2 linked regions of the Diceros bicornis minor genome follow. The protein of the gene in region 1 interacts with the protein of each later gene in a pairwise test. Links are inferred from orthologs where the notes say so. Each region holds a gene or a part of one and is shown on either strand. Other genes may lie near its edges. The genes, in order: ZBTB25 and SEPHS1.

Evidence for each region.
Region 2: the proteins of ZBTB25 (region 1) and SEPHS1 interact in binary tests that used the Homo sapiens proteins (3 or more experiments, as listed by UniProt). The two-hybrid records come from large-scale screens. The link is inferred for Diceros bicornis minor from reciprocal best matches to the Homo sapiens genes ZBTB25 and SEPHS1.

Annotation. Positions count from the first base shown.
Region 1 is NC_080763.1:13,580,429-13,588,799, forward strand, and holds the start of ZBTB25 (zinc finger and BTB domain-containing protein 25), read right to left. Parts: upstream 3,687-8,371; 5' UTR 3,623-3,686; intron 1-3,622. UniProt on the Homo sapiens protein: May be involved in transcriptional regulation.
Region 2 is NC_080775.1:14,120,586-14,128,459, forward strand, and holds the start of SEPHS1 (selenide, water dikinase 1), read right to left. Parts: upstream 3,493-7,874; 5' UTR 3,406-3,492; intron 2,783-3,405; exon of another isoform or gene 2,615-2,782; intron 2,532-2,614; exon of another isoform or gene 648-2,531; 5' UTR 571-647; coding exon 378-570; intron 1-377. UniProt on the Homo sapiens protein: Synthesizes selenophosphate from selenide and ATP.

The sequences.
Region 1 (8,371 bases):
AGAAGTGCTCAAAATGTGGGAATTATATCAATCACATTAAATGAACAAAAATCAACAATTGTAACTCTAATTGTAATTTAAACTAAAAAATTAGCCAGATTAAGAAACAAAGTGGTCCCAAACTAGTAGGAGGGGCACTGGGGGCAGCGGAGGAACACACCATTTTCAGACAACTTTTTAAAAAAGTATTTGGGAAAAAGAGGTATTTACTCTCATATGCCATTACACCTATTTTCATAACATCTAACAAGTGATATGGAAATTCCAAATCTGAAAATATTGTTTGCAGTAAAATCTGCAGTAATTCCAGGCATCTGCTTAGGAAAATCCCTGAGAATATAAGAGAAGAGGGTAAGCAGCAGACGTGGTAGATGATACAGGAAGTGCAGTTATGCTCTAAAAACCTTTAACGGAACAGGGAAACGTTAGTTTGGGGCCTCCTGCCTGTTGGCAGACACAGCCAGCCTGCTACATCTCTAACCCATCTAACCAACATGTGGGATGCCTGATAAAGCCGCAGCACCAGGCAAACAAGAATGCTAACACTGGTGACTGCAAATTGCTAGTGGACCTTAAAAACATCAGAACGCTGTGAAGGAAAGAAAAAGATTCTTCTTAGTCCACTAAAAAAATAGACTGCATTTCTGAAAGAAAATATAAGGTACTCAAAGGACAGGAGAAAGGTGGAAAGCGACAAGGCTAGTACAGACCTAGAATACAGTAGAAACAAGAACGATTATAACTTCTGAATATAGGTGAGCCAATACTTCCTTTGCCATGGAACATTCCACAAACACCTTATCCGCATGGGCTAATGAAACCCTTTGCTTAAAGTGCCCAGAGTTTTTCAGGAGGAACAAAAAGTCATTGTATGATTAATTTGTAACCAGGGAAGGAACGAATTAGAAAAATTTCAAAAATAACCAGCTTAACACTATGGACACTTTTTCTCCAGATAAGGTCAAAAAAAAAAAAAAAAAGAGAAAAAGAAAAAATTCCTGCTGGCAAAGGGAAAGCAGAAGTTTTAATAAATTCAATCAATAATCCTGAAACTGATGTTTGCTTCAATTTCTTTCCTCTTCCTCCACCCACCCGAAGCAAGTTCAAGTAGCAATATCTTTCCTATCCTAGAGGGAATAATACTGTTCTAGTTATTATCAAAGCTACTATTATGAGTAAATACTATACGCAAGGCCTTGTGCTAAGTGCTCTATGTACATTATTTCTTTTAATCCTCACTGTGACTATACGTGTTATTTTTATTTCCATTTTACTGATGAAAAAACCCCTAGGCTTAGGACACATAACTAGCAAATAGTATCAAGTGGGGATCAAAAGCTAGGTCTGACTCCATAGCCTGTGCTGGTAACTATGAACTGGAGCAGTAGTTCTCTTAACATTCTTCTCTCAAAAGACTGAAGTTCACATGCAATTTGGAATAAATAAGCAGAAAGGGGGCACAGGAAGTGGTGTAGAAGTACTTTATAATTGATCAAGATAAGAGCACCTGCACTGCTTTTTTAAGACAAGAAAAAAGCCTGCAATAATATAAAACCCCCCCTCTTTTCTGGCCCTGTTACTACTAAAATGGACACGTTTTTCTTTAACAAGATGGTCAAGCACCACCTACAGACCATAGTAAATAAATCACTTTGGTTCAGCGGTGGGGAGGGCATTACGCAACACTTCCCAGCACAGCCCTGGGCAGGATATTTTACGGCCAAGGCACTTGGGCCCCTCCTCCCCAGCTAGACAGCCTGGCTCCTTCGCATTCCCCTCAGGAGATAGGGTGGAAGCACACAACTCCACTTTCTAAAGCAGAGAGGGCAGCTGAAAAGTCCTGCTCGGCCTCTCTGGGCAACCACAGGCGCCAATAAATCAGCCGCAGGCGATTCTCTCATCCCCTTCCTGGCTTGAAGTGGTAGCAAGATATAATGCAAAAGAGCACTGACTGGACTTGGGAGATAAGTGATCCAGACTTGAATTCTACTGCAAATGAAGCCAGGTAAATCTCTCTGAGCCTGTTTCCTCATTTGTAACATGGAGATACTACTACTTCCTTTTTGCAAAGTATTCAAAATTCATCTATGAAAGTAGCTAGCCACTGCAGGTACTCAAACAGCGACCAAACCTGAGCAGGATCCATCTCAACTACCTCCAAATAAGACACTCAGGGCAGGGCTGGGCAAAAAGGCGTAGCAAGTCACATGAGGTCCTCCCTCCTTTCTTGCTGACCACCCCTGTGATGTTCCACTGTTTCCTGATAACCTCCCAGCCATAAGAACTAATCTATCCCATGTACTATCCCATCAGTGTTCTGTTCCCTATTAAGGAGCTGATGTCTGATGACGGATTAATAGTTTATCCTTAATTAAAACATATCCAGATTGCTAAAGAGGACTTTGATGCCTTAACCTAAGGAAGCAAGCAATGCTGCAAACGTTGGTTATTCTTGCAGAGAATAGGGCTGAACTGGGGGGAGACGGGCTTTGAACTCCAAAGTACATCACAGGCAGTCTACTCCACCTAGAAATAGTGCCAACTCCATTCCTTAAAGTACCAGAGCCATCACACACTGGCCAAACCTGATTTCTCCATAACCTGAATTAAGGCAAGTATAATCAGCTCTGATGGAGGGTCTCTACAGTGAGTGGGTTAAACTGGCATTGGACTCCTGATGTGGTGCACAGCGCAACCCTGGAGCTCAGTTACTCAAGTGTAGGACCCCATCAAACTACACGCTCCTTTAGGCGTGGTGTCCTCATCTGTAAAACGAGAGGATGAACTAGATTTTCTATAAGGCCCCCTTCAGCTTTAAAATCTGATTCAAAAGTGTACTTTACACACTTGACAAAATCCTGTGAGAATCGACAGCTTTGCCAAAAAGATTTGTCTCAAGAGAATGAATGCCAAATTTAATCCCTTGGGGGAAATGGGCGTTAATTTATGAAACCTGTTGGCTGCTGTCAAGTTCCAGGTATAGCGCTAGGTGCTGCCTAAGCAGCTTGATTTCCCCAAATAATAAGCGCCAGGGAAGACAGTAATGAATAGGGCAAGCTCCAAAAACGAAAAACTCGATTTGCTTAAAGTAAGATTAATATAATCTGAAAAAAGAAACAAATGAATTTGGGGGGGACTTCCTGCCCTAGAAACGGGTAATCACCAACGGGGGTGGGGGAGGGAGAGGGAGGACAGCGGCCGCAGCGTCTCGCAGGCTGCACCTGGAGACCCGCCCACTTGCGAGAAGGGCCGGCGCGGCCGCCGGGGAAAAGCCGGAGGCCCGCCGGGACTTCCCGCTTGGGGTCGCACCCAGGCCCGCGGCGGGGAGGGCGCCATGCCTTTGCGGTTCCCCGCGCGCCGTCCCGGCTTGCGTCAGGCCCCGGCAGCGCCTTGTGTCGGCAGCGACAGGCGGCTCCGGGCATCCTCAGCCCAGCGCTCACATGCGGTTGCCATTTTCCTCTTGTGCCCTGATTGACATCTCAAATGGACCAAAAACACCCCTCTCCCCAGCTACTTGCATCTGTCCCGCGACCGGCGCAGCTGCAGGCCCCCGCCCAGGGCGGCTCGCGGCGGGAGGGACTGAGCCCGGAGCAGCCCACAAGGGCCGGGCCGCGTCGCTTACCCAGACGCCGCCGCGGCCGCCGGCCGGCTCCTCCGTGCGGGAGGGGCGGCTCCCGCGCCGTGTACGTCACGCGGCGGCGCCGGCTCACGCACCCCGCTGCCGGCTCTCGCGCGGCTTCCCGCGCCGGCCGCCCCGCGATGGGCCCACGTGATCGCGCGCCTGGTAGCCGAGGAACCAGGGGCGCGGGGCCGAAGTCTGTGTGCGTGCGTGCGCACTCGCCCGCTCGAGTGGCCAGGCAGGGGTCGGCGTGCGCTTGGGGCGCCTCCGCCACAGTCCCCAGTCGTGACTGTAGGCGGAAGCGTGCAGACGAGCCTGAGCGTCACAGGCTCCCCACACACAACCGCGTGACTTGGGGACTTTCCCCAGGGTGTGCAAAAGCACGGGCACCCCCTCTGTTCGGGGGTGGGGGTGGGCAAGGATGCGCCCGCGTGTTCGCGAGGAGAGGGGTGAGGGCGCGGGGCCAGGGAAGCTGAGCCGCGGGAATCTGGGAGGGGAGGCGGGCTGGGCGGGGTGGGGCATGGCGGGGGAAGTGACTCAAGGCCGGAGGCGGACAGGCCCATGGAAGGCAGGGTGGGGGGAGCGCGGGGAATGGGCAACCATGGACGGACTGGCCGCGCACGAGACAGGGTGATGGTGCTGGCACCCCCAGAACACCACGGACGTAGTGCGAGGGAAGGCCCAGCTGCTGGGCCCTACGGGGCAGGGGTCTGACATCTGGACGGAGTGGGAAAGCAGCATCCTGCCCTTGGGGAGTCGGGAGGAGCCCCGTCCTGACCAGCCCCGTCCTGACCAGCTGTGCAAACAGGAGGAGGAGGAGGTCCCAAGCCTACCCTTGGGAGAGGGGCGAGAGAGGTGGTCAGGCCGCCGCCGCGCCGGCCCCCGCGGTGCGGGTTGCGCCAGCCTTCTCGGAGCCCGACGCAGAAACTTGTTGCAACAAACAGGCGACCGCGGGTGCCCCTAGCAGCCAGCGGCGGAGTGGGTGGGCGGGCGAGAGGGAGGGGAAGGCTGGCGGACGCCGCAGCGAACTGGTGGGCAGACCCGGAGTCGCCGCGTAAGCGGGGCCGGCTCAGTGCGGTGCGGCAGGCGCGGCTGTGCGGCAGCGGAAGTCCTTTGTTGCAGCACAGTCCCTGGCAGAGCCAGAACCTCTCCGCGCAGCCCAGCCCGAGCGCCGCCGCCACTGCAGCTCGCGGCCCCTTCGCCTCCGCCCGCCTTTCCCGCGGCTGATTTGCCTTAAACTCCCTAAAATCTCCGCAGCCCCGGTTCCTGCTGCGGCCGGTGAGTATTTGCCAGTTGTGGGGCTATTTGCGCAACTTTGGGCCGGGCCGGAGGGCGGCGGACCGCAGGCCTGGCGGAGTGCGGAGCCGGAGCGGCGCCGACCCGTGCGGGGAGCCGGAGCGCGGAGGACGCGCGGCGAGGACCCGGCGACGGGCGGCTGCCGGGCCGCCTGCTCGACCCCGCCGCCCGCCGGCGCGCCTGGTCCGGGACGTGCGGCCTCCGTGGGTCGGAGGCGAAGCCCCCGCGGAGACTAGTTCCCAAATTAGTTACCTTCTTTTCCCTTTCTTTCTCTGCCTTTATTTTTTTGAGGGGGGAGGGGAGGTGTAGACGGGAGGCGGGAGGACCCGGTTGATTGACGTGCCCAGAGCCCGCTTCTCTCAACTTACAGCTGCGGCTCCTGGGCGGGTGGGAGGGGAAGTGTCCCGGAGCCGAGGCCGCAGACTTGGGCGCGCTCCGAGGGAGGAGGCGTAAGAGCCGTGCAAATTCTTGCCACGCTCTTTCCCACCTCCTCTTACCGGCACACACGGTTTTTTGTTCAGTAAAAAGTGGTAGGTCTCGGGTTTGGGAATTTTCAGTGGAAAAGATCTGTTTCCTGGGAAGAAAGTGCTTTCGCTTCCAGTGGTGGGCGCTTACTAAGAAGTTCTCTTAGTGGTCGGTACGTGTGTTGGACGTAGATTGGGAGTCGTTACCGCTAAAATATGTAGGCTTGGGTCTGAGCTCAGCCACCCTCCCAGTCTCCGTTTCTACCTAAGCAACGCGTCTACCTGATCTGAAAGGTTGACGTGACATTCTCCAAATTGGAAGTGTCAGGAAGATGTTGGTGAAAGTCCTTGATGTTTTCTGGGGACAGTAGGGCATTTGTATGTGTATAATAATATTCCTAAATGGAGCTTCAGCGTGGTAGGTACGCGCAGATTCTTCCTTGGCTTGAGTGTATTTCCATACAGTATGTATCACGGCAGGAAAACTGTTCCAGGAACAATTTTCTCTTTGACATTCGAACCCAAGGAGTGGTCCCAGGCATTTTGTAGGCGACTTAGAATCAGTTCCTTGAGCTAAAGTTCAAGGCCCTCGGGAGCAGATTTGGTGAAGGATGCAGTTCTGGTGATAACTTCAAAGCAATCACCACCTTGTCCTTTGAAGCTGAGAAATTAGATTCTATGACATTTTGCCAGTGCAGATGGATATGATGGGGAGAAATGGGAAGAATTAGGATACAAAAAGATGAAGTTTGAATGATGGCTGACCATAAGAACCTCAAAACTTTCCTTTTGAATTACTTGCTGGATGCCTAAAAGTCTCAGTAATAATGGAATGGCTTTGGGAGCTAGATGGGGGCTTCCTCATCTTAAACAGAGAAAATTGAAGCATAGTGGAGGTGAAATGCTTTTCTAAAGATTAATAAAGACAGTCTGCAGTAGAGCCTTCAGTTAACATCTTATATTCATTTTAAAAGCAGATTTCTCCATTATGACCAAATTTTCATGGTATAGAATAATTCAGGTTGAGCAGTCTTGCCTGAAGCCTTTCTATTCTTCCCACCCCACTATGATGGCCTGCTTCAGAGGAGGTGGGGGAGCCCTGGTGCCTCATTGTCGGAGAAAAGAGAAACCATGTTTAACCAGGACCTAGCAGGGCTGAGCACGCCTCAACCCCTCGCTCTTGACCTTATGTTTTGATTTCGCTTTAACGCTGATAAATTTTTGTACTGTTTTCTCATTCTCTTCTTTTGCCAGGCTCTGGGAAAGGTACAGTTCATGGAGCTTTTTAAAGATGTCTGTGTTCCTTGCAGCACCATTTCCCATTCTAATGTGCAGGAGAAAAGAAGGGCCTGCTTTCAGGCCTCTCCTCCAGCCAGGAAAAGTGCTAAGCCTCTGCTGCTAACCTTCTGGCCCAAAGAGGAGGAAACCATTTGGGATAAAAATGCAGAAAGACTACCATAGGTTTTTATTTTTAAGCTACAATCTGTTGTCTTCCAAAAAAAATCAAGGTACATTTGAAAAACATCTGCTTGAGAGGTCACTTTGGTCTGTATAGGATATTTTCTCCTATTTTTTTCTTGTGATAGTATTTTTTACAATAAAATATTGAAATTATTTTTATACTCATGTAAACTAAATTAAAAGTGACTCATGTCTGTTTTTCTCAAAATGGAAGTTATTATAAAATCCATGCTCTTTGTAAAAATTTAACCTATACTGAAGTACATATAGTACAAAAATGAAAGTCATTCTGACTCCCACTCCCCAGAGATAATCACTGTTAACGGTCAATTCCTTGTTTAAAACTCGAGAAGGCAACATTTGATCATAACTGTGCTGCTGTGTGTGCTTCCCCCTGCCTCGGGATGGCCTAGATGATTCATGGGCTCATGTTCTCTGTACACTGCTCTGGTTGGTAAGAATGGGCCAGGTGGAGGGAAAGGGAATGTTTTGCATTGGGCTGATTTAAAACTGTATGATTAAGTAACAGACATGAGAGTTTACATATAACAGGATGGCTATTTTGGGTTTGTCCTTATGAAGTACTTATTGTAGCTTGGTGGGCTAGTTCTCACACTTTTTTAATGTTAATGTTGATGTCCAGCCTCTGATGGGTTGATTTATACCGACTAAACTCCTTTAAACAAAATCCTCACATTTTTAGAGAGTTACATAATTTATAGTTGGGAAGGAGTTGATATATTTGTCATGACCACTGCTGATATGGGATGAGTTCCTCTTGATCAATATCCGGAGGTAGCTTGCCAAACATCAAGGAAAGGAAATTAGAGGAAAGAAGGGGATTAATGACTGTGTGGTTTTCAGATGTGGCATAGAAGGAGATGGTACATAGTTAAGATAGATTTCTAAGTATGTGACATGTATAGTCATTTGTCTAGTAACTACAAGAGATCTTAGTCAAAATACAGAATCTTTTACTCCTTAGCCTGGTATATTCGAGAAGACGGAACTGTGAAGTAGTTGACGATGTTCTGAAAACAAAGCCCCAAAATGGTACATAGAAGTTTAATCACAACATTGATTTGAGGGTGTTGGGGACATGGGTGTTTTTCACACTACTCTGCTATGAGTTGAAAATAGTTTTTGAAATAAAAGTGGAAAATTAAAGAATTAAATCACCAACCAGATTTTCTGTTCGTTGTGTATGGGGGATACATGTAATCCTTGTTAGAGATAACAGAAGAGCTCCATCCCCACTTCACATCTTCAGTATTGGAGGAGGGCTTGCTCTGAGGCACAGCGGCAGTCAGCAGATGGAAGAGGGGATGGGGAAGGGGCTGGGCATTCTGCCTGCAATATGGGGCTGTATGAGAATGGGGTGACTCTGGGAGGCTTAGAATGTCCCAAAGGGACACCAGTTAATAGTCATTGCCAGAGAGAGTGTTGTCTGGTTTATAAAAACTGAAACTCAGGGCTCTGAATCAAAAACGTCAAGAGTCTGAGTCCCATCTTCTACTTATGTGATGAGCAC
Region 2 (7,874 bases), on another chromosome or scaffold:
AAGACAATGCAAGCATTTTAAGGAAAATTTTACGTAAAGACATAAAGGAGTTTCTGCTTAATCTTCAGCTAACCAGAAAATTCAATTTAATAAAAAATGCTTCTACTGTAATATAATTGTCTCCATCACATACTTAATAGTTTAAAAACGGTTAGAATGCATTTCTGGATGCTTTTCAAGTGTTTCCTCCAAATAAGTTACAATAACGTGACACAGTTACCACCTCTTTGCTCTTTGAATCCTCCTTACAGAAATTAGAAAGACAGACAAAAAAAAACCAATACGAGAGGAGAGAAGTCTGGTTTTTGACTCACTGACTGGCCTGCAGTCAGAGACGCTTTACTCAGGGAAGTATAAAGAAACAACGGTTCACATACCGAGCCTTGGCATGACTGCTCCCAGAAACTGTTCATCTTCTTGGAAGTGGTTCTCCTGTAAGGACTCCAGCAATTTCTGCAGGACATCTTGGGGCACCTTGCAGCCAGTGCCCTTCAGTTCAGTGAATCTGGTTAGCCGGAAGCTCTTGTCCAATTCATAACTTTCCGGGTTAAAGGACTCCCGCGTAGACATGGTTCTTGGGCCCACACGTCTCACAGCCGGGCTCCTCCCCTCCCTCTCCTAGCCGGCTGGTTTCTTGACAGATCCACCTAGGTAGCCCCAAGACACAAAGACACCATTTAAAGAATTCTCACCAGTACTTGCCAAGAATCAAGGGAACACACCATAGTGAAAAATAAATGTCAAAAGGCCTAAAATCACCAACACCACAGGGAAAGTGATTTGGGGCCACAACAGTTCGCCACAGAGATGCATAAGTCAGGGCAAGTCATTTGATAAAGTGACAACACCATCACAGACATCTTCTACGGAGGAAGATCTGACGTCTGTGTTATAACTGTGGCTCTGAGGGGCAGCGAGGAAGACCTCCTCTGAAGAAGGAACTATGGGCCCGCAGGCTTCCGTGACACAGCACCATTTTGAACACTAAGCCCCAAAGGTTCTAGCAGGCAGCACCGTGAGAACACCTCTTGTCACTTCACCTGTCAACCTAGACGCACTTCAGTTCAGAAATTAAACATTCTGGCTAAAGCGACTTTTCTGGAAAACCTTTGCAATGTCACAAATAAAACGTCTCATAGAAACTCTGCGGGAAATGGATGTGGATGGAAATGCGTTTGATGAAATTCTTCATGATGCTAAGTCTCATTTTAGAAAAACACGTTTTCACTCCGAGCCAAAAGTACACAACACGATCCAAAACTAATAGGAGGCCTCACTACAGAACACAACTTGCAAACTGGGATGGCTGTTTAACACCACAAGGATCATTTTCTTCAAAGAGAGCAGTGGAAAGTTCTCTGATGTTTTAATGCAGTGCTATTTCCTCGAAAGCAAACATCCCACCCAGCAAACTAGTACAAACACATCGCTGACAAAACATGCTACTGCTCATTACCATTTCATTGCAGAACTAAAACGATAAATTAAACCCTACTAAATCACTAACATTTATGATACTTGGTACCACTGGAAGTTTCTGCAACAAGCTCTTCTAAGTTTGAGGCCTTTGGGGCTAAACCAAAAACTTACATGTGCTCCTAGGGTTTACAAACCGGACGAGTGATACTTTATTGGGCATAGAATTACATACGCCCCAAGTTTTAGGGTTGGTTTCCCCTCTAAAATTTATGATTAAGAACATAATTCCCATTTATAGTTTTCGATCCCTGGGAAGCACATCGCCAGTTGAAAATAAATCTCACAAAGCCCGAGTTTGGGCAGTAATCCAAACCGACTTTACAAAAACACGTTTGGGATGAGCAAGGATTTCAGTTTGAAACCTACAATTGTACAGGAATAAACCTTCCAACATTCATGAACAACCTGTCCAAAACGAAGGCGGCAGGCGGGCAGAGCCAGTTTACCGACATGGGAACTTTGAAGCCATTTTAGAGTTAGGAAAAGTTTACCACCACTTCAACTTGGAAGTGTCTGGATCAAAAACAAGTCCTTTCCTCACAAAATGCCTCGCATTTAACACCACCTCACTCATACCAGGAAAAAAAAAAAATCCAACTCACGAGGCATCCAGTTATTTTCCTACCTGCACCCCTATCCAAAAAAACAACAAAAAAAAAAAAGGCGGGGAGAGGAATTTGGCATTTGGGGGATTAACTTCCTTTTAGACATAATTTACATCTTTCCAAATTTTTAAGGGGGAAAAAAGTTTGAGAGACCCTAAGTCCAGAAGGCACACAGGAGTTTTAAAATTCCAAAAGGAACGAGAAACCCAAATCACACACACACTCACATCCGAACCTTAAAAAGATAAACCCGTACATTTTTGGAGGGGATGAGAAAGGGCGGAGTGCTCGGGGGAAATGAGTAATTAACGGGGGGGTTCAATCTGCATCAGAAGAGGCAGTCAACTCCAACCCAGAAAGCCGCATGTTTACACCTTTAAAACAACGATATGAATATTTAAAGACGAAGGTTAACCCTTTCTTTCTCGGCTACGTTGAAACTGTTTGTAACCGAGCGCGCAAAGCGGGCTACGGCGCCGGGGGAGCGCAGTGAGTGGGGGAGCAGAGGGGCAGCCCCGCCCGGTACCTACCTACCCCCCAGCCCCTAAGCCCAGGGAGCAGACAATGGGGTGGCCACCGCGACGCGGGCGCGGGGCCCCGGCGCTCCCCATGCAGCGCACGTCGAGGCGGCGGCCAGAGCGCGGAGGACCGGACTCGGGGACGCCTTAAGTCTCAGGCTGCCGCCTCTACAGGCGCCCCGGGCCCGGGCTCTTTGTGCGGCGCGGCGCGGCGGGCTGGCCGCGGCCGGGCGGAGGCGGCGCGGCGCCGCCGGCTGGGCCATGCTCTCCCGGCGGCGGCGACGGGAGCGGCGCGCGGCCCGCGGGCCCCCCGGCCGCGGCGGGGCGGGCGCGGCCGGGGCGCCCAGGGTCAGGCGGCGCCCGCGGGCCGGAGGGCGCGCGCGTGGGGGCGGGGAGGGCCGGGAGGCGCCGCGCGCCGCGCCCAGGGGACCGCGCTGGGCTCTCCCGCCGCGCGCGCGGGCCGCCGCCGCCGCCGCGCAAAAATGTCGGCGGGCGAAAAAATTAACCCCTGCGTCGCCGCCGCCGCCCTCCCCCTCCACTCCTCCCCCGCCCTCCTCCCTCCCTCCTTCCCCGGCTCCGCGCGGCGGCGGCGGCGGCGGCGCGGGCGGTGCTTCTTTTTAAAGCGGCCCCACCAAGCCCTGGCTCTGCCCCTCTCCAGGCAGCGCTGGAGCGCGCCGGCCGTGCACGGCTCCCGGCGGGCCCCGGCGGCCCGGAGGGGGATCTGCACGGCCGCCATGGGCCTGCGGACGAATATGCCCCTTTAAGCCTGGTGTCTCGCCCCCCCTCCCCAGCCGGGCGCTTACCGGTTCGCCTTGCGCCCTCCTCCTCCTCCCGCGAACGGGACTCCGGCGCTCCCACAATGCACCGGGCGCGGCCGGGCTCCCTTAAGCGTCGCCTGAATAAAAATGCCGCTCCCGGCGGCGGAGGGCGGGAGGGCCCCGGGCCGCGCCTGGGCGCCGCGGGGGCTCGGCCTGGCTCGGCGGGCCCCTGCCGGGAACGGGGCCGCCGTGCGCCGCGCGCGAGGGGCCTTTAAGGGCCGGCTACCTCCCTTTAAGAGGCGGCGGGCCGCGGCCGGAGCGGCTCGCTGGCTGCGTGCGGCCCGGGAAGGGGGCGGGGGCGGTGTGCAGGCCCGAGCGCGGCAATGATTGGTCTCGGGGGAGGGGTGGGGGGTTGCAAACCCGAGGAGCGGTGGCATCCGTTGCATGATGCAAAAAGGATTGATTTCAAAAGTTGCGAGTTGCATTGGCAGCCGCCTTTGGCGCCCAGGCCACCTACTTTTTCTTGACCCGCTGGAAGGGCCGGGAATGTTTTCCAAAACCTGGCCCGGCTCAACCGCGCCACGCTCTGCGGGTCGCTGTACCTGCTCCCCGAGCGCTCCCGGCGTGTTGTCCTGGAGGACAATGACCGTGGAAAGAATCTGAGAAAGATTAGGAGCAGAGGAAAAGCCGCCTCTGCTACAATGAAAGATTTAAAAGCAAACGGCGCGTTTGATTAATAATGACTTCACCGTCTCTCCCTTCTATTGTTTAGCCCGGCTCAGGAGTTAAGATGAGACTTGGTGAATATGCACACATCCTGCAGTTTCTTGAAAGTTTAATACGCTTGGTAGGAAGTGAGAGCTTACGGATCCTCAGTTGCATTGTTTGCTCTTCACATGTCCAAGTAAACATGGCAGCCTAATACCCTATGGGTTTCAATTAACACCGATAGGAGAGCTTCGGCTTGTGAAATTACTTCTCTCAACTTCCTGATGCTCTGCTGATTGAAATAAAGCAAAAATGCTTTCATGCTACATCTTAGGGCTTCCCTTAAAACTGAGGAGTGTGGAGGAATGCCGACCAAACTTTAGAGTGGTTCAGCATTTTCCAAATGTGTTTTTGACCAGAAATGTTTTTGGCAACCGAACTGTGCTTTAGGTTGCGCGTCAGGTTTGCAGGCTGCCGAGATGCCTTTTTCATTCTTAAAATTTCTGCTTGACAATTCCCCAGGGTTTTAATCTAAGGGAGGATGCAGAAGTGATGCAACCTAGAAGACCGGGCTGATACAGGCTCCTCCTCTCTGTGTCCTTTCTGTGTACTGTCGTAAGTTAGGAAAGAATGTAGTAGCCTAGCTTTAATGTGATTTGTTGGACTTTTGTAAGACTGGCATCAATCTGTGGTTGACACACCTGGATTTGCCTCTGAATCACCTGGGAAGACAGGTCCACACAATCTCCAGGCAATACTCCAGAATCAAGGAAGGATACGGATATCTTTATTCCCCTCATCCCTCCCCTTTTAAAATTGATTTTGTGAGTTGTTGGGTTTTGGTTTCGTTTGTTTCTCGGCAAAAAATGTCACAACTAGAAAAAAAAGACTTTGGGTGATTAGGAGGAAGGTGATTCGGCAGAGTTGAGTAGGGCTCTCTGTGAAGGCGCGCGTGTCATACCGAGAAGTTTGATATTTCTGTTGTAGTCAGCAAGAGTTTGTCAGATTTGTTGCTTACAACTTTAGCTTGTAACGATGGCTGTACCACATCTGGGAGGATGCCCTCTCCAGAGGGGAAACTAGGACCACATCTCTAGTTAGGAGGTAATTGTACTAGTCAAGCGTAGATCAGAGTCGAGGGTATTGGAACTGAAGCAGCGGGGAACGCAGACAGGGAAGGGGATTTGAGGTGATCTAGTGTGTGGTTGGAGGAAGAAGCATAAGATGACCCCCAGGTTTCTAGTTTTGGGGGCCTGGGTGGGTAGTGATGCTACTAACTGAAATAGAAACTACTGAAAGACAAAGAAGTTTTGGAGCGAGTTCAGCTTTGGAAATGTTAAATTTCAGGTGCCCGCTGGATAGTCTAGGCAGAAGGCAATTGGTAAAACTAGGTCTGGCGCTTGGGGTGGGGGTGGGTTCTGAGTTTGAGATGCAAACGTGGGTGCATCAGCATGTAAATGGGGTTTGAAGCCTCTGAAAGAGGTGAGATTAACCGGTAGGGAGAATGCAGGAAAAAAGTGACAGAGACCTTGGACAGAGCCCTGCCGAGCTCCAAAATTGAATGGCTGGGCGAGCAAGAGGCTGATCCTTGCTGAGTCTGTGGGAGGGTTAGCATGCTCAAAATCATTCCTCCCCCAGCCCTGGGGGTTGCAGCTTGAGACACATTCTCTTGAGCAGAGGCTGTAGACTTTTGACTAAGCCACAGATGATCTCGATTCATCTAGAGTCAGTCTACAACCTTGGAGATAGATAACCCACCAGATCTCTTGTCCTTCCCTTTCTTTGCCCTAAACGCAAGCCTCCCTCTGTGCTTCCCCAGGTCAGTCTTCTTTCTCCTGCCATCCTTTCTATGAGCCTTCCCCAGTGGGCTCATCAGAGCCCTGTTCCTTTGGGAACCATCTCCCCTGGGTTCTCAGGTCCTACTGGCTCCACCTGAAAGATGGTTCCCCTGGGTTGCGTTACTTGCTGGAGGCTTGTTAAAAATACGAATTTACCAGCCCCACTCTGAAGATTATATCTAGCAGGTGCAATGGGTTGAATTATGACAAAGACTCTTTGCTTGACCAAACTTTAGTCAGGTTCATGAACCTTCTCCTAGGCCCAACTGTGCACTTCCTTGTAAAATTCAGTTTTAGCGAGAGTGATATCTGATCACCCTCAATATCTGATCATGTTCCTCATCCTCCACCATCCCCCCAGGTGACGTCTGATCACCTGGCCTGACTTCAGCAAGAATCCTGTTAGGTCGGTTTAGCCAGAACCCCTCTCACCCCTGATGTGTCTTAGTAATTTCCCGTCCACTGCCCCCCACCTTGGTCCTTGGTTATGAAGGCCCACTTGCCCATGCTGTGTTCAGAATTGTGCACACTCTCTCTCCCCCACTGCAAAATTCTATCACAGTGACCTATCACAATGGTCCTGAATCATCTGCCTTACCATCTTTAACAAGAGTCATAAAGTTTTTTCTTTAACAGTTGTGCCCCCCCCAAAAGATATATTGAACTCCTAACCTCTAGTACCTATGAATGTGGCCTTATTGGGAAATAAGGTCTTTGCAGATGTAATCAAGTTAAGGTGAGGTCGTACTGGGTTAGGGTGGACTCTAAATCCAATGACTTATAAGAAATGAGAGATTTGGGGGCCAGCCCAGTGGCGTAGTGGTTAGGTTCACATGCTCTGCTTTGGTGGCCTGGGGTTCATGGGTTCAGATCCCAGGCACAGACCTATGTACCACTTATCAAGCCAGGCTGGGGCAGGCATCCCACATATAAAGTGGAGGAAGATGGGCACGGATGTTAGCCCAGGGCCAATCTTCCTCAGCAAAAAGAGGAGGATTGGCAACAAATGTTAGCTCAGGGCTAATCTTCCTCACCAAAAAAAAAAAAAAAGAGAGAAGGGAGATTTGGAGACAGAGAGGCAGGGAAGAAAGCCACATGAAGACAAGGCAGAGATTGGAGTGATGGAGCTACAAGCCAAGGATTGCCCACAACTACCAGAAGTAGGAAGGATCCCCCCTAGAACCATCAGAGAGACCACGGCCCTGCTGACACCTTGATTTCAGACTCCTGGCCTCCAGAACTGTGGGAGAATACATTTCTGTTGTTTTAAGCCACCCTGTTTGTGGTATTTGTTATGGCAGCCACAGGAAATCAATACAGCGTGTCTGAGGTGTATGTGGGGGTAGGAGGTGCTAAGAACCCACACTTTGGATGGGCTCCCCTGGTGGTGGTGATGCTTTCTCAGAAAGCCAGAGGGCAGGAGGCTGCCTGTTCATCTGCTTCCCACACTCTCCTAGCTCCGTGACATTACTTTTCCTCTGTCCTGCCTTCCTTATGTCCTGTCTGTCTTTAGGGTTCTTGCTATCCAGCATTCCACCATCTGTTTCCGGCTTGGTCACTTCCTTACATTGTTTGAGTTATTCTCGTTCAAACACGGCCGCTGATCTGTCATTGTGGAGGGCGGTGGGAGTGTGTGATCAGAAATAAGACCTGGTGGGCAACAGACATTTCAAATCTAATGACTTGTAGCTTCACTCCACTTAAGCCGCCCGTTCTCGCAGCTGTGCTAAGAACCTTCTCGTTCCTGGAAATCTTAAGCACCAACATCCTGCCTCCAATCCTACAGTCCTCTCATTTCTTTACTCCCTGACACCTGCACCTCAACCGCATGGGGGCCACCAGTCTCTCTCCTTCCATCCAGCCTGGATCCCTGGGGGCAGCTCAGCGGCCTGGTGTCCCGCATGTCCCCTTCTTTGGCCATACCCACCCTGAGACGTGCAGCCCTAGGTCCCTTCCACCCACCGTCTT